Lonchura striata: one gene and its partner. The protein of the gene in region 2 interacts with the protein of the main gene of each other region in a biochemical or structural test. Links are inferred from orthologs where the notes say so. Each region holds a gene or a part of one and is shown on either strand. Other genes may lie near its edges.

Region 1 (10,351 bases), on a different chromosome or scaffold from region 2:
GTGCTGGGTTTTTTTTCCCAGATCACTCCCTTTCCAGAGATCCATTATTTCACTGTGCTAAATCCAACCCGAGTGCAGGGCTCCAGCAGCTCCAGCACTGCACACGGGAAGGAGAGAGGGAGAAAGAGGGAGAGGGACAGAGAAAGAGCCACCAAGAAGAGGGAATGCGTGGGAAAGGCCTGATCCTGCATCCTGGGGCTTCAGCTGGTGAGATTGTAGCTCAAACACCATCCCTCTCCTTCCCCAGCACCTCTGCCTGATCCAGGTTCTCCTTTCTTTCTGCCTGGAAAGTTCTCCCCAAAGACACAACTGGGGACTCCATCCCCTGGGAAGAAGCCGCCGGGCAGCCACGTCCCTCCCTCCCCACCAAGAGATTTGGCGAAGCTGGGGTGGGAAAGGTCACCTTAGCCAAGCTCTGCTTGTAATGGAAGTTTTTTTTAATTAAAGATTTCAAAAATAAAATAACGCCCCTCCTCGATTTTTGCTTCCTACACCTCGGGGAGATGCCAGCAGAACCCCTTTTGTCTCAACCCTGCAGAAGCAGCCAGACCCTCCTGGTCTCCCGTGCCCCTTCTCCGTCCCTCGCCGGCTGTGATTGAAATGGAAGACAAACATCAAGTGTGCTAGAACCATTTTAATATAATTATACATATCTGCCAAATCCAGGAAAAAAAGGTTTATGCATATATATCTTTTTTTTTTCTTTTTTTTTTCAGTTAACATCTGCAAGCATAAACGACAATGAATTTCTTGGTTTAAATTCATCCAGGTCAGAGCAACTGCCCAAAGTCCTGTCGGATTTGACGGTTACTGCCGGCGTGGCCAGCAGTAAGTGAGCTCCAGAGGAGTTAAATGTCCTCGGGTGGGGTATTTTCGGTCTTTCCTCTTTCATTCAGAGACAGTTTGTTGTAAAAAGTTTCAGTGCAGTTCACCTCGGGTGAAAGGCGATCGTGTTTTTTGCGTTTTTCTTTTTTTTTTTTCTTTTTTATTATTTTTTAAATATATATTTTTAATTATTTTTTTTTAAAGATGATAATAGGTAACTCAGTTGCTCTGAATTTCACTTATAATTATAACCTATTTAAATCACAGCAGAACTCCTGCTGGTGCAGAGTTCATAGTTGCATACAATACAGGAGATCACAGTTTTGAAGTCTAGCACAGATTAAAAACCACAGATGTACCATTTATATAAGACACACACTGATTGTCTCTTAAAAACTACATATTGACTCCTTATGAACATTATCTTTTTTTTTTTTCTTAATCTTTAAATAAAGTAGTGCAGCTAGGACAATCAGTCACACAACCCACACAGCCCTGAACCAAGTTCTCCGGGTGCCAACTTCAGCAAGTTGGGCATGAAACAGTTGGATGAGCTCGAGAGAGAGAAAAGAAAGAGGGAGGGACAAAAAGAGGGAGAAAAAGAGAGATGTTGTCCATTCTGAATATTTTAACCGAGGGTTGGCTAACACATTGGAAACCTCTGGGTGAAGGATCATCTTTCCACGCACACACAAAAAAAGAAATAAAAACCTAGACTTTTTTTTTTTTTTTTTAAACTGGCCCGCAGGTGGGAAGATCTCCCACCTCTTCCAAACAAAGAAACCCAACAATTGGCTAAAACTAGAAAGAACACAGATGGGTCTGTCTGGTTTCTGCTCACTAGATGATCTGTCCATTTAAGGCCTTCCTCCTCCGTTTTTCCTCTTTATTATTCCTTTTCCAGAGCGTCTGAGCAGGAGATGAGTCTGAACGGGATCACACCAACACTGTCCCCCTCTTGTTGCTGTCAAGTTTGTTTATTTTTTTTTTTTTGTTTTGTTCATTTGTTTGTCCGTGGAGTTATTTTTCTCTTTAACTTAACCAAGACCTGACTAAAACTGGAGCGCTCAGCCCAGCCTGTTCGTTCTCGTCGCGATTTCTCTCGGTATCACAAAGGTTCTTCACAAAACCTGGAACTTCCATGACGATGTCTGGTCCTTATAATCCAAGCAGTCAGCATTGAAGTTTAACTTCCAGGAGGCCGTTTGGTCTTTATAATCCAAGCAATCGGCGGTGGAGTTAAAGCCCAAACTGGAGGCTCCATAGCCCTGGGTGGAGAGGGAGGCTGGAGACTGGTTGAGGTGGCTGGTGACCGCGTTGGCACCCATGGGACTCAGGGTGGCCCCCGGCCCGGGGAGCTGGTGGTGCATAGGGGTCAAGTAAGATCCACAGTCCATCCCTCCGAAATAGGAGGTCGATCCAGCGTATCCTTGGCTGTAGCCTGATGCCTGGGTGTAGGTCATGGGATAGGATCTCTGCATGCAGGAGGAAGAGGTGGACAGGGGGTCTGAGAGCGGGGAGATGGACGCTGGGCTCCAGATGGACACGGGGGCACTGCTGCTGGAAATGGTGGGGACTGAGGTGCTGGAGGGGGGAGTGAACTGCCCGCTGGTCCCGCTCTCCGAGCTCACTTCCCGGGCGGGCGAATTCTTCTTTTTAGCCGGCCGGACCTTGTTCTGGCCCCCGTTCTGCTGCTGCTGCTGCTGCTGCCGGCACTTGGCTCGGCGGTTTTTAAACCACACCTTGAGGCAGAGACACAAGGGAGGGAGAGAGAAAAAGCCTGGGGTTAGGGATGAGATGGTGGCAGGCAGACCTCGCCGGGGAGGGAAACCCTAAACTGTCCCCCAAGAGCAGAGGGTTGCAGGCTGCTGCGAAGGGAAGCTCCGGGGCTTCCCCTCCCTGAGATAATTAGCAGCAATAACGAGTGGAAATCACAAATCAAACTCCTTAATAAGGTCACTTTTCGGGAGAAGGGGAAGCATTCTCTCTTTGCTGTTTGCCAGCCGGGGACCCCCAGGAATCACTGCGTAAGGCCTATTGAAGTCGAGCCCTTAATTAGAAACAATAGAACATCAGAAAAGCAGGGAACAATTAGGGAAGCAGAGGTTCAGGGTGGGGAGAGGGGTAAAGATGTCTCATTTATCCTCCAAACAGGCTCTCTGCTCTCACCCCCTCGGCCAGAGTTGGCCCCTCAGCCCATCTCACCTTCCCTTAGCAGGGCCCAAGGGGGCTGGCTGGCTCTGGGGAGGTTTTGTGGGAAGGAGGATGGGGTTTGGCATGGGGGTATCCTGATCCCGGCCACCACGCTCCACGGGAGCACCACACAGCCTCGGGAAGCCTCGTCAGGGAGCAAGTGGAAGGGATGGCTTTGGAGATGCCCTGTCCCCCTGCTGCTGGGGTGTTCTAGGTCCCAGAGGGAGCAGGACCCTCCTGCCTTGCCAGCAGCATCTCCAAAATGCTGCCTGCATGGGCTCCCTGCAGAGCAGACACAGCCCAGCCCCGGGAGAGGGGCTCTCTCCACCAAGGCAGCCCCTCTCTCATCAAAGTCCCCTCAGAGGGGGAGGAAGCTCCCAGTCTGTACTGGTTTGGTCTGGGATCCCAGTCTGGCCCAGCTCCAGGGATGTGGTGATCCCCGGGGAAGTGGGCATCCTCTGTGGCTTCTGCAGGACAGACTGGGATTTGGGCGTGCTGGGGATGGGTGTGGAAGGTCCAAGAGCTGGGATCCAGGATCTGCATAACACCCCCTCAGTGCAGAGGGAGGAAGGGGGGGCACAGCCAGCCCTGGGGATGCAAAATGCCACCACATCCCCTCACTGAACCCCCACCCGTCTCTGAGCCTCCTTCACCCCACAAGGGCTTGATTTGGCTTCAGGACTGGATCCATCCCCTAAAGCCGTGTCCCTCCCAGTCAGGCACAGGCCAGCCCAAGCCCTTCCCGCGGTACGGAGGGGGAGGGCAGGTAGGGATCTCCGCATCCTACCTGCACTCGGGACTCGGGCAGGTTGATTTTCAGGGCCACCTCCTCCCGCATGAAGATGTCGGGGTAGCGGGTCTTGGCGAAAAGAGCCTCCAGCACATCCAGCTGCGCCCGGGTGAAGGTGGTGCGCTCCCGCCGCTGCTTCCGCGGGGTGGCTGCGAACGGAGCCAGAGGCCCTGGCTGTCAGTCAGCGGCCCCTTAGACCCCGCTGTCCCCTCCAGCCCCCTCCCTAGAGGGGCACCCACATTCTCTCCCCTCTCCCGGGGGTCCCGCACCCCCAGGATCAGCCGCCACAGCGCGGCCGTCCCAACTCCGTGCGTTCGGAGCATCCCCAGCGCCGGGGTCTGCCCTGTTTGCAGCCCCTCTCCCCCAGAAAAACTTGGGGGTCAGGAAGAAGGGACCCCACGCGTTCACCCGCCCAAGCCAGCCGTGATCCCTGGGCATGTTGTGCCTCCAAAATCCCAGCGGTTTCTCCCCCGCGCAGCAAAATAGAGGGAGGGAAGAGGGAAGAAAAACGTGGCTTACCGGGATAACCGACGGACGGATGCAGCAAATCCATGCCCGAGGTTGTGAGACTCAGGCCATTGACTGCATAAGGTGGTTGCTTAAGATAAGACATCATGCTAAAGTTGTGGCGGGGAGGAGAGTTGGCCGAAATCCGGGCGAGGGGGAGCCGGCCGAGCGCCCTGCCTGCCCCGGGCGGTGCCTGGGGGAGCCGTCGGGCGTGGGGGGGCCGCCAGGTGCCTGCGCAGGAGGAAGAGGAGGGAGCAATGCGGGGATGAAGGGGGGAGTCAGGCCAGATCGCTGCCCCCCGCCCCCCCCGCTTTTATCCCGGCTGCCTTTCCCCCCCCCTCCACCCTCGTCAATCCTCCCTCTCGGACCCCAACCAGATTTGGGAGCTGGGAGAGACTGACTAGATAAACGCATCTCTCCCCAAAAAGGGCGAGGAGGGGAGGGAAGGGGGGGCACATCCCAGCCAGTAATTACTGCCCGAACAAAACCCCCCCATGCCTTCAACTGCCCGCATTGTACGGCGGCCGGGGGCATTTGCATAGGATTCCCGGCCGGGCACCGGCTAATTGTCTCAAGCAAAACTTGATTGGGGCCATTGGCAGACACAAAGAACCCCTCGGCTAAATAAATAATGCAGATAACAAAGCCCAAGGGTGAGAAACAAAGAAACAATTCAAGAAACCTATCTCTCCACTAGTCTCTTGCAAGGACTTTAATTATCCCAGGTTTGGGCAACATTCAAACCTTTCCCCCCTTCTCCCCCTTTTCCCCTTCCCCCCGACGTTGCTGCATTTCAGAGCTCAAATGCCCGCTCGGGAAGAGCCAAACTTTTCTGCTCTCCCGCCATCAGTCCACGTCTGCAGTAATTTCCACCGGCCATTTGCACCTAATTAGTACTCCGGGTAATTAGATTTGGAGGCAAGTAACAGATTTATTAGGCTTTCAAGAAACTCTTGATGACGGAGCTGAAGCTAAACAAACAGCCCGGCGGTGAGCGGCCCCGGGACAGCCCCGGCGAGCCAGCGGCTCTCCCGGTCACCGCTCGGGCTGCCCCGGTCCCCTCTCGCTGCCCCGACGGGACCGGCATCTCTGCGCCGGGGAACGAGGGGGGACCCAAATATGGGGTCCGCCAAAACAAAAAAAAAAAAAAAAGGGAAAAAAAAGGAGAAAAAAAAAAAAAAAAAAAAAAAGGACGGCAACGGGCCAAACAGAGACTCATAAAAAGGTTAAAAAGGTTTAGGCCGTTTTTTCCCCACAGAAAATATTTTTTTTAAAATCTTTTTGAATGAAAGCTCGCCCTTCCCTCCATCCCAGCAGCCGTCGGGAAAACGAACTCCAGCAGAACTTTCTTCCCGAAAGAGCCCAAAACTCCGCGTTCCAGCCCAGCCGACTCCCCGGGAGGGCCCAGCGCTGCCGGGGGGCTCCAGCCCCGTGCACCCCCGGCGGTGCGAGTTCTCCGCGGCGCGGACTTTCCGCTTCTCCCCTCGGGGAAGGGATTTGCCGGGCTGAGCGGCGGAGGGAGCGCGCATCCAGCGCGGGGGGCGCAGGGTCGGGCCCCGCTTTTAGCATCACCCCCCGGGGGAAGCCGAACGGGGACGGTTCTGCCGAGGGGGGAGCCACGCTCTGTTCTCCGCGCAAGACGCGCGGGAGAGCAAAGCGGGGCTTGCTGCCCGCTTCAAAACGAGCGGACAAAAATATTTTAAAAAGAAAAAAAAAGAAAAAAATACTAAAAAAAAAAAACCAAAACAAAAAAAAACACACACAAACACCTCCTCTCCAAAAAAAGCAAGCCGTTCGGTTAAATTCGGCGGCATCCCACCGAGGCGCCAGCCCGGCGCGGCCGCCCGCGGAGCCCCTCGGCCGCGGCCGCGCATCCCGGGGCCGCCGCGCAGCCCGCGGAGCAACGGCTCCACTCCGCAATCTGTCACCTTCCCCCGCCTCCCGCTCCCCCCGCTCCGCGCACATCCCGGCTACCAGTTGCTCTGCCCTCGCTCAATAATAATTACCCCGTCCGAGAATTAATTATAATAAATGTTTTCTTGATAAACTAACGAGATAATCCGGGCGGCACACGCTCCCTAATTACGAGGCACCGGCCCCGGCTCCGCTGCTCGCCCCGGTGATTAATGCGGGGCAGCGATCCGCGCCCGGCCGCGCAGGCTGCGCCCCCGGCCCCGGCCGCGCTGCGGGGGCCGGGGGGGCTCGGCCGGGCCGCGGAGCAGCGCGGAGGGGCTCCCGCGGAGGGCGGGGGGAAAGGTGCCAAGGTAGAGAAGGGAATTTGTTTCCTTTTGTTTTGCGAACGACAGCCGCGTTCCCTGCCCTCGCCGCGCTCCAACGAATTCAACGAATCCAAATTTATTTAATTTTTTTTTAAATCAAACCTTTTTTTTTCTTTTTCTTTTTTTTTTTTTTTTTTTTTTCCCGCACTGAAGGGACTGTTTGAAGGGATATTTCCCGACAAGCGAATTTTACCACAAATTGCAAAGGCGGTGGGGATGGACCCGTCACCCGCTCTGCCGGGCGGTCCCCCAGCGCTTCTCCCTCCGCAGCTCCGCGCTGCTCCGCGGCCGCGGCTCCTCCCCGGCCCCGGGAGCGGCAGGGCCGGGCTCGGCGGGCAGCCACGTCCGCCCCAGGCCCGTCCCTGCCGCCCAGCAGCACCCGGCCGCATTTTTAAAGTGCTTTTTTCCCCCACTTCTTTCTATTATTATATATATATTTTTTTAACTAGAGTTGCGCCTTTTCAAAATAAATAAATAATAAGCCTCAACTTCTCTAAGCAGCCGAAATCGAAATAAAACTCAGCAGCCAAGGAGGGTTTTAGTTCTAAAGAAACTTGTGCCGCTGCACAAGGACTTTTCCCGAGTTTTTCTTTGTCAGCGCGGTGCGAATATAGAGAGGCCGGGCCGCGCTACTCGCGGTCGGTGTCTTTAGGAAGCGCTTTCCCAAGGCATAAAAAAATAAAATTAAAATAAAATAAAGGAGGTGGATACCAGTTCCAGCCCCTCTCCGACCTGGATGCCATTCCTGCCACCCCTTTCGCCCGCCCCAAATCCTGAAGCTCCGGCCCTAAATGCTTTGAAGATTTCTCTCCCTGCGCTTTCCAGCCCGGTTCTCCCGGGCCGTGAGTGCTCAAAAACACCTTTGCAAAATTACTTTGCTGAGTCTCCGCATCGCGAGGAAGAGGAGGAGGATGAAAGGGTTCTCAGGTAGGAGTCGGAAGAGGGGAGAAATTCAATTCCTCCCCGTTGGTTTTTTGGTTGGTTGGTTTTTTGGTTTTATTTTGGTTTTATTTTTTTCTCCATAATTTTAAAACTCAAGCTTGAGGTCAGGAAATATCTACAGGCCAAAGGAACAGGCCGGAAAAAAAATCATGTACCCAACGAAAAGGCGATGAAGCCCCGCGCCTGCCCGCGGAGAGCGAGCGGCTCCGCGCCCGGCCGCGGGGGACGAGGCTCGGGGGGCGAGGGCGGCGATGGGCAGCGCCCCACGCTTCCCAATTTTGCCTTTTTCCCTCTCATCCTGCAGCTCCCGGTCCCTGCCGAGCACCGAGCCGGTGCTGTCCCCGAGCCGGGGCCGCCTCCGCCCGGCCCGGCCCGGCCTCTCCCGGGCAGCTCCTGCGGGATCCCCGCACAGCGCAGCCCCACCGCGCACAGGCTGCTTGAAAATAATCATCATTTAAACAAACAAACAAATAAAAAAAAAAAATTCGATCATTTGAATTCTCCCCGCGTTCCTGGCCGCCCAGCCGTGCCCCCGAGGAAGGATGGAGCCAGCGGGTCGGACTTACCTGCGAGGCTCGCCGGAGCCGCGGGCAGGGCTGGGGGGCGAAGGGGGAAAGCTGCTCCCGGATCCTCGCCAAATTCAGAGCTCGGGCTGAGCTGGGAGAGAAAGCACAAAGCGGGAGGTTAGAGAGCTCGCCGCATGCACATGCCCACGACATCGGGGGGAAAGGGGGGGGGGAGGGGGGGGTGGAGAAAAAAATGTTTGAAAAAGGAGAATAAATGGGGAAAAAGGGGAGGGGACGGTGCAGGAGAGGGATGCGGGGATGCTCGGGGTCTGGGCTCGGTACATACAGAGCTGGCCGGTGCTGGAGCTGGTCAAAGTGGTTTTATTTTTAATAATAGTGGCAGGGTGCGTTGGAGCTGAAGGTCTCTACCTCTCTCGGGGAGCTTTGCTGAGAAAGCGCCTCTCTGGCAACTTTTTGACGCAAACTCTCCAACCAATGGCAGGGAGAGAGTGATTGACACATCTAAGCCAGGGGGAAAATAATAAAAACACACACAGGGGGAGGAAAAAACAGGCCGCTGCTGTACCGGGGGGACAATCCAGAGAGAAATAACAGCCGCCGAAATGACACCAGAATATACATTAAAAGAACCTGCTCGGTTTAAAAATATACATTATGGAGCGGAGCGGATGAAGTCATTGTAGAAATTAATGTGATGGACAGCAGAGATGGAATTAGCGAACTGCCCGGGGAAGGCGAGGAAAGGGGGGGCAGCAGAAGGCTGGGGGGTGGCTGTAATAATAATAACAACAACAACAAAAGATATTAATGTATAGAAGTAAATATTTGTGAAGGGGGGACACGAAGCCTGCCGGGAGCCCTGGGCTGAGCAGCAGGAGATGGGTGAGAGGAAAACCCGCGGGAGCCAAGGGGAGAATCCCCCCCAGCACAGAGCGGGGTGCCCCCAGCCCCGGGTCCCCCCAGTGGCACCCACAAATCGACCACACCCCAATTCCACCTCCCAGGGGCCAAGTCACCCCTGGAAGAGGGGAAATGGAGTCACCTGGGGGACGACATAAACGCGTTTTAAATTGTATTTTTAAAGATCTATAAGGAACGAGGGTGCGGAATGGAACTTATCGGCGTCGCGTTGAAATTGCAAAGAGGGACGCGCGCATGTTTTTAATGGGAATAATTTGGGAGCAGTGACGGGCTGAGGGTGAGGAGGGCCCAGGGGGTTCCCGGCCTGGCACACCGGAGCCGGGCACCGGGATGTTCCCCTGGCACCTCCCGTCCTCGCTCAACTTCTCGCGGCTCACAGCACCCCGAAAATAAAGCCCTGGCAAAAGGCAGGAGGATGGAGGCGGCTGAGGTCGGAGGGAGGGAGCGCTCACAGACTTTCCTCACTTTGTGACAATGGGGGGAAAAAAACTGCAGCGGCTCCATCATTTTCACGGGGTGACCTATGTTAATGAAGTTATAGCAATTAATTGGCTTCTTTGTGGCTTTCTCCGAGCCCGGCTGAGTGCGATCCAACGTGGTTGTCCTTGGACTTTAGCGGCGGCGGCGCAGCCCGGGCTGGAGGTTTGCAGGAGCAGGTTTGGGATGCTCGGGGCTGGGCTGGGAGGATGGGTGGTGTGGCTTGGTTTTGGGTTGATTTTTTTTTTTTTTTAAATCCTTTACTCCCAGAAAGGAGGAGGAAGGAGGCGGCAGAAGGGAAGGAGGGAGGGGAAAGGAAGGCAAACAAACAAACAAACAAACAAATAAACAAAATACCCCCTCGCCCAGAAGCGACGCAGCCCTGACCGCCGGAGCCGCTCCCACTTTGGCCGCTGGGTTGTATTTGTTTGGGGCTTTTTTTGGTTGGATTTGGTTTGGTTTTTTGGGGTTTTTTTTCTTTTTTGTTACGAGGCGACTTCATGGAAAGTTGATACCCGGGGTACCCCCGGCAGGTACCCCCTGGCCCCACGGGATTCCCAACCCCTGCCTTTCTTGGGGTTGTGTTTTGATTTATTTTTCTCTCTTTTGTGGGGACTTTTTTTTTTTTTTTTTTTTGTGGGTTTGTTTGTCTAGTTGAGTTTGTTTGTTGTTGTGTTTTTTTTTTTTTTTAATTGTGGGGGAAAGAGGTGTGGGTAAGGGAGGGGCAGCTGCAGCCGCCGTCCCTTTGCAGCATCCCCCCCACAATCTCAACCCTTGCCCGGAGATCCGCGCTGGGCAAATCCTTCCCTCACCTCCCCTCATTTCGGCACGGCCACGCCACCCCTCAGCCTCTCCTTCAGCAGAGCACCAGGAATAAATATCCCGATTGA
Region 2 (9,018 bases):
TAAAGGGGGGGAAGGAAGAGAAATGGGCGGAGAAGGAAGAAAATAAAAGGGGAAATGAAGAAAAAAGAGGCGAAACTCTGCGGAGGGAGCGAGATGCGAGCGGAGCCGAGCGGGGCCGGACCCGAGGCCGGGAGCGGGGGCGGGGGAGATGTCCTTGTCCCCAAAGCGGCGACACCCCCGCGCCCGTGCCCGCTGGCCGCGGGAGCCTTTTATGTGCTAATGCCACCCATTGCACGCCCCGCTTGCCGTCGTGTGTGTCCTTGGAGAGATCCCGACACATTTCAGCCCCAGTTGTTTTTTTTTTTTAGGAAGATTCTTTTTTTCCCCTTCTCCTCTTTCCCCCTACTCGCCTCCCGCCACCCCCCACCCCCGCCCCGCTCCTCCCCGCTCGTTCCCTTTCTCCCCTTTTCTCTCGCCGCGGACAATGCGGAATTTTAAGAAGGATTTGGATGTTAGTTGGGAAAGCAACATCGCGGCGTGGCCGGCGCCGCGTGGGAAAAACAACAAGTGGTTGGGAAGAGGGCGAAAAAGGGAATGGAAGGAGAGGATGCGGGAGGTGTTGAAAATAAAAAGCTCTGCCCTTTTTCCACCGCCCGCCGAAAATCTGGGATGCTGTCCCGGCAAAGGCAGGGATGCGCTGCCCCTGCGAGTCCTAAATCCCTCCCGGTTAACGCAGCTGGGATGATTTTTCCAGGATCGCAGGGCTTTGGGAGAGATGTCCCGGATTCCCACCTTGAGCGGGAGGAGCGGATTTTCCCTGGCCGCGGTGTCGGGGTGGGATGGGTGGGAATAGTGCGATCCTGGCAGGGATCCCGCGGGCATGGAGATGTCCCGGCGGGGATAGCGGGATCCTGGAAGGAATAGTGTGATCCTGCGGGGATGGGGGTATCCTAGAATGGATGGAGGAGTTCCGGAAGGGATGAAAGGATGGCGGCAGAGACATCGGAGATTCCAGCGGGGGCTGGAGGGATTCCGGCGGGGGGATCGGAGGGATCCCAGCCGGGTATGAAGCGATCCCAGCCGGGTTTGGAGCGGCAGCAGCCGGGAGATCCCGGGTATGCCGGCAGGGACAGCGGCGATGCCAAGCCGGGAGCGGCGGGGGTCCCGTCGGGCGGCGGCGGCGGAACAGAGATTCAGGGGGAAAAGCACCGCCAATACGACTTTAATGGAGTTCTGCGGCAGCTGCGGCCGCTCGCTACCAGAATACACAGTTCGAAGACATAAATAAAGCATACAGAAACGATAAATTAATCAGATCCGAGTAGTTTACTCTCCCGGGAACTTAAAGCATTTGCTTCAATTGCAACAATCTATCCTGCCTTTTCTTAATTTTTTTTTTTATTTTTTTCTTTATTTTTTTTTCTTTCCCCCGTTTCCCTCCCGCCGTGTTTGTTTTTTTTTTTTGTCTGTTTTTTTTTTTTTTTTTTTTTTACAACGTTTCAAGACTTTTGGTTCTCAGTTTCCGAACTAGGAATATTCACAAGGAAGGAGGGGTTGGTTCTGCCTCGGTTGAGGGTTATTTTTTTCCCCCCCTCACTCTCACACAAAAAAATAGATATATTTAGACCTCGTGGCGACGACAACAACGAAAAAATCAAAACAAGCCCTGGAGAATCCCCCCATGCCCACCCCGCCAAACCAAACCACCCCACATGGAGCCCTCCCCCGGGTGGATTTGGGAAGGGGCCACATGGCTGCAGGTTCCCAAATGGATGCAAACATCTGGAGCCAAAAGGGAACAACAACAAAAAAAAAATATATATATATATACCAGATATGTACCGTACTCAGAGTCCATTGCGAGGGGTATTGGGGGGGAGAAGGTTTTCCCCTTTTTTCAGGAGCGTTTTCCTGCTTAGGAGGAGTTCATGATGGGCCGGGAATACACGCCTTGGTAGTAGGAAGTCTCTCCGGCCAAAGGCGAGGCCTCCAGGGCGCTTTTGTTCGTTACGGGTGCCATGGCCAGGCCCGCGGGCACGGGCGAGGCGTAGCCCGAGTAGTGCATCACCTGCTCGTAGGCCTTCAGGTCCATTTTGTGCGGGTGGTGGTGCTGGTGGTGTGGGTGGTGGTGCTGCTGCTCTGAGGAGGACATCAGATTGTTGATGGAGAATGGGTGGTTGAAGGCGTAGTGGTGCTCAGGCTTGAGGTGGCCTTCGTGGGCCAGCCCGGCGTGTGGCGGGGCCAGCAGGTGCTGGCCTGGAGAGGCCGAAGGCTCGCCGGGACTCAGCCCTTTGAGGTCGGCCAGGGTGCGCTTGTGGTCCTGGCACGGCGAGGAGCTGGTGGGGGACTCGGCACTGGCAGAGCCATCGGAGCCTGCCGAGGAGCTGCCCTCGCCCAGGGGCTGGCTGGGGGCTTGGCCTGAGCCTTTCTTGCTGCCACTGCCGCCAGTGCCATCCTTGGCCGCCAGCTGCTTCTCGCACTTGAAGCGCTTCTGGCGGCGCAGGTAGCAGCCGTTCTCGAACATGTTCCCCGAGTCCGGGTGCAGCGTCCAGAAGGAACCCTTGCCTGGCTTGTCCGGTGAGCGCGGCACCTTGAGGAAGCAGTCGTTGAAAGACAGCGAGTGGCGGATGCTGTTCTGCCAGCGCTGCTGATTCTGGCGGTAGAAGGGGAACAGGTCCATGATCCACTGGTAGATCTCGCTGAGGGTTAGCATCTTGTTGGGGGACTGCTGGATGGCCATGGTGATGAGGGAGATGTAGGAGTAGGGCGGCTTGGCGTGAGTGTAGCTGCGCCGGTAGGTCTTGGGGTCGCGTGAGCGGTTCAGGTTGGACTGGCCATAGATGGGGCTCATGGAGTTCATGTTGGAGTAGGGTGCCAGGGCGTTCATGGAGCCCGCCTGGCTGCCCATGGGGCTCATGCTGGGGCTCAGGTGGGCACCCATGCCCGGCACGCCGGCCGAGCCCATGGCCGGCATGGCCCCTGCGCCCGGGGACATGCCTGTCAGCGAGGGGCTCATGCCCGTGTTGGCGTAGGACATGTTCATGGAGGTGGCCGCCGCCGTCATGTTGGCCGTGCTGCTCATGGCCGACATGGTCATGTAGGTGTTCATGCTGTTCATGCCCAGACCCGCGTTCATGTTGCTCACCGAGGAGTAGCCCTGCGGGGACAAGCGACACAGGGCACGGGGATGGCGCGGGGGGGAGCCCCAGCCCAGCCAAGCTCAGCCCAGCCCAGCCCAGCCCGGACGCGCCACAGCCGCGGGGCTCCGCGGAGGGCACGGGAGGAAAGAGTTAAATCCCGGCGCGGGGCGGTGGTGGGGCAGGCGGGGGGGGGTTGTTTTTCTTCTTAATGAAACCCAAATATATTTTGGTATTTATATTAGAAAAATCGCGGTGGCAGCAGGAGCGGCGGAGCCGTCCCGCGAAGCGGAGTTGCAGGAAGGGAAAGGGAAAGGGACATCTCTGACCGGAGAGAGAAAAATACCTAGGGGGGTGGAAAGAAAAACAGAGAAGAGTCGCCTGCATCCCCACCCGCACCTCGGGATCCCCGCCCGCAGCAGGGAGCCGGTGCCAAAGTTAATCGCGTCCGGGGGCCGGGACACCGGGGGGTTTTGGGGGGTTCCGGCTCCGTCCATACCTCGGGCTCCCCGTAGTAGTTGCTCCAGTCCGTGTGCTCATGGCCTTCCATTTTCACCGCTCCCAGCATACTGGAAGTGGAGTGCATGGCAGTTTAAAATTTAACAGCCACAACAAACGACGGCAGAGAGCGACCCAAAAAAAAAAAAAAAAAAAAAAAAAAAAAAAAAGCAGCAAAAAAAAAAAGGCAAAAAAAATTACTCCCCAACCCTCCCTCCCCTCCGCCGGAGCCTCTGGAGGAGGAGGAAGAGGAGGGAGGGAGGAAGGGGGGGATGTAGCGGCGCTGGGGCTGGGGTGGGTTTGTTCCGCCGCCGCTCCTTGGGTGGGTTTTCGCAGCGCTCCGCGGCGAAGAGGCGCCCGGAGGCGATGGAGGAGCCGGAGGAGGAGGAGGAGGAGGGAGGAGGGAGGAAGAAGAGGAGGAGGAGGAAGAGGAGGACAAGTGCTGCAGTGACGTGGGTGCCCCAGTGATATAGCACGGAGCGGCCGGGCGAGCCTCCAATCCCCAGGTCCTCGGCTGCCCATTTGAATAATCAGCTCACACCTAGGCGGGAGCGGCTCCTCCGCGGCCCCGCGCACCTCTGCGCGCCTCTGCCACCGCCTCGCGCCGGGGGACACCACTGCCACCCCATCCCGCTCCCAGGGGCACCGTTCCCAGCCCGCTGCCCGGACAGCCCCGACGGCATTGCTGCTGGGAGCAGTCCCGCTGCGGCGGCCGGGCATCCCCCTCGGGTCCCTGCTCCCCTCCCCGCGCACCTTCGCTCCCCGCGGCCAACGGGCCCCGCGGCTCTGTCTCCCCGGCAGGTCGGGACACGGCTCTTCCCGGCAGGAAAATCGGGACTAAACGGAGCAGGGAGAGCAGGGAAAGGGGCGGGCAGCGCCGGCGGGGCCGCGGGGCCGGCCCTGTGCGGGTCCCGGTGCGCTCCGTCGGGGCAGCGCCGCTGCCGGAGCGCCTGGGAGGGGGGAGAGCAGGAAAGGAGGAAAAGAGGGAAAGAGGAAGGAAGGACAGACGGGTGACCAAAACCACCCTCCCGCGGGTCTAAATTCCCCCCTACCCCCCATCGCGGTCCTGACAGCGCGGGGGAGACCCAAGACGACAGGGAGGCATGGGAGGGCTTCTCCCCATTCCCACCACCCCTTCCCAGTGCCCGCCTGGCTCCACCGGGAACATCCCCGCAGCTCCTGGGGAGTGTTCCATGAATTCCCACCTAGATCTGCCCACCGTCATAAAAAAAAAAAAAAAAAAAAAAAAAACCAACAAAAACCAAAAAAACACCACCAAAACCCCAAACCAACCGCAAGCCTGATTTATTTGTTTTTTTATTATTATTTATTTATCTATTTATTTAATTGTTTATTCATCTATTTATTTATTTATTTATTTATTGAGCTTGCGCTCCCCAGAGGGGCTCCCCTGCCCCACGTCGCCGAAAGTTTTTAATCCCCCCCCAGCAAACCCCTTCAGGATTTTTTCCCTGTGCTCCCAAATCCCTCTGGATCCATGGCCAAAGGAAAACACCCCTGCTTCCTTGTTTCCATCGCAATAGCCGCGGCGATAATCGCAGCCCACCTCCCTCCCATCACCCTCCACCCCTTCCAGGCATTTTCTGCCGGGATTTGGGCGATTTGGGGGAACGGCTCCGCGGGAGATGCCCCGCCGAGAGGAAGGACACCCCGAGCGCGGTGGCGGGGCGCCCTCTGTCGCCTGCTGTGGGTGCGGGGGGGGACGGAGAACGACACCCCGAGGTGGGGGGACACCCAGGGACACCCTGTGGGGTCAGTCCCGGGGTCACCCCCTCGCACCCCCTGCCCGCACCCCGAGACCACCCGTCCCGGCTGGGAGGGGAGGTGCTGGTCCACCCCAAGTGCTGAATCTCCACTTCCTGCGTTTCCAAGGAGGTTTCTGCTCATCCAAAGGCTCAGGAAGGGGGAAATCTGGGAGGATGGGATGAAATGTGGGATGTGGCTGCTGGGCATGCTCAAGGATCCTGCTCTCTGCTCCTGGCTAGATCCAGAATGAGACCCCACTGGTTTTCCATCCCCTTTTCCCTCAGACCTTGAGGTTTGTTCCGATGGATTCCAGAAAGGCTGGGATGAGCCTTTCCCCGGGCAATTCCCACACTCAGGCCTGGGCCCTGCAGATGTTGGGGCAGATGTTGGCACAGATGTGAGCATGTCTGGCACCTCCATGTGAGGGGTGGCCAGAGGTGATACCATCCCAAGCTCAGCAGCTCCTGCCTTTCCCAATTTCCTGCTCTTTCCCCTTTACCAGGTGCCGCTTCCCTGCTTTGGCTCCATAGGATTTGGAATTTTGTCCCCATCAAAGGTGAGGATTTTCATCCAGGTGTGGACTGGGACCTGCCCCAATTCCTTGGATTTTTGATCCTTCAGGACATTCCCACCGTCCCAGACACTTAAATCCCATTTTTCCCTTTGTCTGTCCCACAATTCTCCCATCCTGCTCCATCCATGGAGCACATCCTGCCAGGAATGGTGATGCTCATTCCATTCCACGTGCCCACAGGAACAACCACAGCCACCACATCCCACTCCTGCTCATCAGACAAAGCTGTTGTCGCAGGAATACGAGGACATGGAGCAATTCCAATATTTGTATTCAGCAACGCGGGCCTGGAAAAGCATCTGGATGTGGGATTGACTCTGGAGGCTCTGCTCCCACATCCAACCACCTCCCGCTCCCTTCTCACCTTCCACACAGATAAAATTAATCTCTCCTAAATAAAATAAGCAGGAAATTTGATATTTTCCCATAAAAAGAACATTTTTAGGAATACTAGGACTGCTAAAAAAGAAATTTTTTCTGTGGTGTCTTATTTAAACATTCCGGTTGGAAAGAGCGAGTTCCCAGCTATCTCCATATGATTTCTTCTCTTTAATATTTAACTAATATTTATTTTAAATTTAATTTTGAAATTATGCTCTTATTTGCATTGGGAGCCAAGGCTTGGGAGGGGACTCCCACTTCCCATGGGACAGCTGGAGTCTGGATGGGCTTTTTCTGCATCCATCCCTTGCAGCAATGCCAGTGTCTTCCCTCCAAGCTGGATAATTATCCCTCTTCTCCTGATAATTATCATCATTAATCTAGGATAATAAACTCTCCCAGTTGCGCTGCTCCTCCAAAAGAAAGGCGGGATTGGGTTTTTCCCTTGAAATCAGGAAATTGGGAGACAGAGGCTCCTGAAGAGCTGCCCTTCAGGAGGATTCTTGGAGACAAAAGGCAACTTGTCAGATTTATTGAGGCCATTCCCTGATAAGAGATGGAAATTATGGATGAATCAGTGCCTGGAAGTACTTCAGGAAGAGGTGGGAGATGGGATTGAGGCGGGAAGAGGGAAGGGTGGAGCAGCATAGGAAAGCTCCATTGCTACTGTGCTGCCTCTCGCTGGGTTTATTTCCAATTTTTCCTGTAGAATCCATCTTTGTAAGGTCAAGAGCTCTGCTGGGTTGAAAGCATTCCCAGGAGCTTCTGTTCCAACAAGCAGGACAAACCACAGGAAGATGGATGAGGATGAGGATGAGGATGATTCACATTCCTGAAGTTGGGAATTAAGCTGAGTATTCCCACAAAATTCTCCAGGAAGAGCCAACAGCACACCCCGGGTCACATCCAGCATCAATTTGGGAACGCGCACCAGGATCCCGCTCCCAAGCTCCCACAAATTCCATACATTGGGAAAAGCTACTTGAAGGATTCGGATGAAGACCACCGAAATTCCCTCTTTTTCCCCACGCACAGAGCCTCAGCTCTAGAACAGGTGCCGGTATTCCACCGGGAATTCCTACAATTACACCGGCCAATATTGACTCAACTATTTGAGGAACTCTTCAACCGAGTCCCTCCTAATTAGATTCCACATTAAATGGGGCTGCTTAATTCCAGGAAAGATTTTCCAAGGCCTTAGCAAGACTAACAAAGGAAAAGCCAGGATTGTGCAAAAATACTGTCTCTTTAATATCCCAAGGATATCCACCCTTTTAACTCTGGAATGATATCCTTCAATCCAAGGGGCAGGCAACTTGGCTTCATCCACAAGGATTCCTGAGGATCCAGACAGTCAGAATATATCCCTTTTTCTGGAATTTTCACTCCCTGTTTTAACATTCCTTCCTGCTCCGTAATTATCTGATGTCGATGAAGGGAAGGAGCTGCTGGAATAAAATAAAACCAGGGAAAAGCCCAATGGGTATAAAGCCCCATTATTAGGAATGGAGCACGGGCAGTTATCCTGATGGGAATTAATAACTTCCCAGGAAAGCATTCCTAATGATCCCTGGGGCCAATGCCAGCATGAGGTGGGGATCCTGGGAGGGTGGGATTGGGATCACAGCGGGAATGGGCAAAACCCCCTTGGAAGAGCCCAGCAGCCTCTGGAAAAGCTTCAGAGCAAAATCAACAGAGGGCATCTGCCGGCTGTTTGCCGTGGGCCACGTGATGCCCATTCCCGGCTTTCCAGCAGCACGTTTTGCCAGATAAACAAGATGTGCAGGCATCTGGGATGACGGCCGGAGGAGCTGGCTGGCTGCGGAAAACCGGGAGTTAGCGGATTCATCCCCAGCTCCCATGGCACAGGGAGAAGGATGAGAGGAGGGAGATACCCAGGTCGAGAAAGAAAGGAAAGAAAGCCTTCCTCACATCCCAGGAAAATCCTGCCATGGATATTTTCTCCCAGCAGGCAGGGGAATTTTCACCTGACTGAAATGTCCAGGGTTTGGGTTCATCCTGGGAAATATTTTTTATGTTTAATGATCAGTTGCTGAAAACTGAAATGTCCTTGGGTTCCCAAGAAGAAAACAAACAGGAAGAAAATGGAACCTGGAGCCTCCTCCCAAAACCCAGGGCTTTAATAGCTCCCTGTTATTTCCTAACAAAACCCCCGTGCTGCTGGAGAGCTTCCAGCCTGGCTGAGGTGCTTTGATTCCCACTGGAAATTTGCTGCTCAGGGCAGGGGGATGAATGACCCCAAGGACGGTCCAGCACATAATCCAAGGAGTGAAATTAAGGGACCCAATTCCCAAATTCCTTACACAACCTGTAAAACCAGAGATGTGTCCAGTCCAAGCAGTCCCAGCCATTCACAATTGACGAGATTTGGAATGGGTGCCAGAGCAGGGCGACAGGAGCATGTCCCAGCTTTCTCAGCGCTCCGGGAGGCTGCTTTTCCATGGAGATCCATCGGAGACAGCCTCTCCGAGGATTCTGATGGACATTTATAGCCCTCTGAGTCATTCCCGGCCTTGTTTAAACCAGTTAGACCTGGCCAAGACCTTGAAAATAGCTCCATTTATCCCAAGCGGCTCCAATCCTGCGTTCCGGGTATAAATAGCTGACAGAGCTGCTCCGAGCTCGTCAATGCAGGCACTGCTCATTCTATGTCACCCATCATGTCCCCTCCTGGCAGTCTGCTGCCAGGGTACCCCATTT

What was found.
Region 1: the proteins of FOXA2 (region 2) and OTX2 form a complex in vitro, tested with the Homo sapiens proteins (2 studies listed by BioGRID). The link is inferred for Lonchura striata from reciprocal best matches to the Homo sapiens genes FOXA2 and OTX2.

What each region holds. Positions count from the first base shown.
Region 1 is NC_134608.1:4,122,643-4,132,993, forward strand, and holds OTX2 (homeobox protein OTX2), read right to left. Parts: upstream 4,468-10,351; 5' UTR 4,425-4,467; coding exon 4,328-4,424; intron 3,979-4,327; coding exon 3,806-3,978; intron 2,568-3,805; coding exon 1,947-2,567; 3' UTR 620-1,946; downstream 1-619. UniProt on the Homo sapiens protein: Transcription factor probably involved in the development of the brain and the sense organs. Can bind to the bicoid/BCD target sequence (BTS): 5'-TCTAATCCC-3'.
Region 2 is NC_134605.1:27,871,851-27,880,868, reverse strand, and holds FOXA2 (hepatocyte nuclear factor 3-beta), read right to left. Parts: upstream 3,718-9,018; 5' UTR 3,664-3,717; coding exon 3,577-3,663; intron 3,098-3,576; coding exon 1,856-3,097; 3' UTR 1,713-1,855; downstream 1-1,712. UniProt on the Homo sapiens protein: Transcription factor that is involved in embryonic development, establishment of tissue-specific gene expression and regulation of gene expression in differentiated tissues.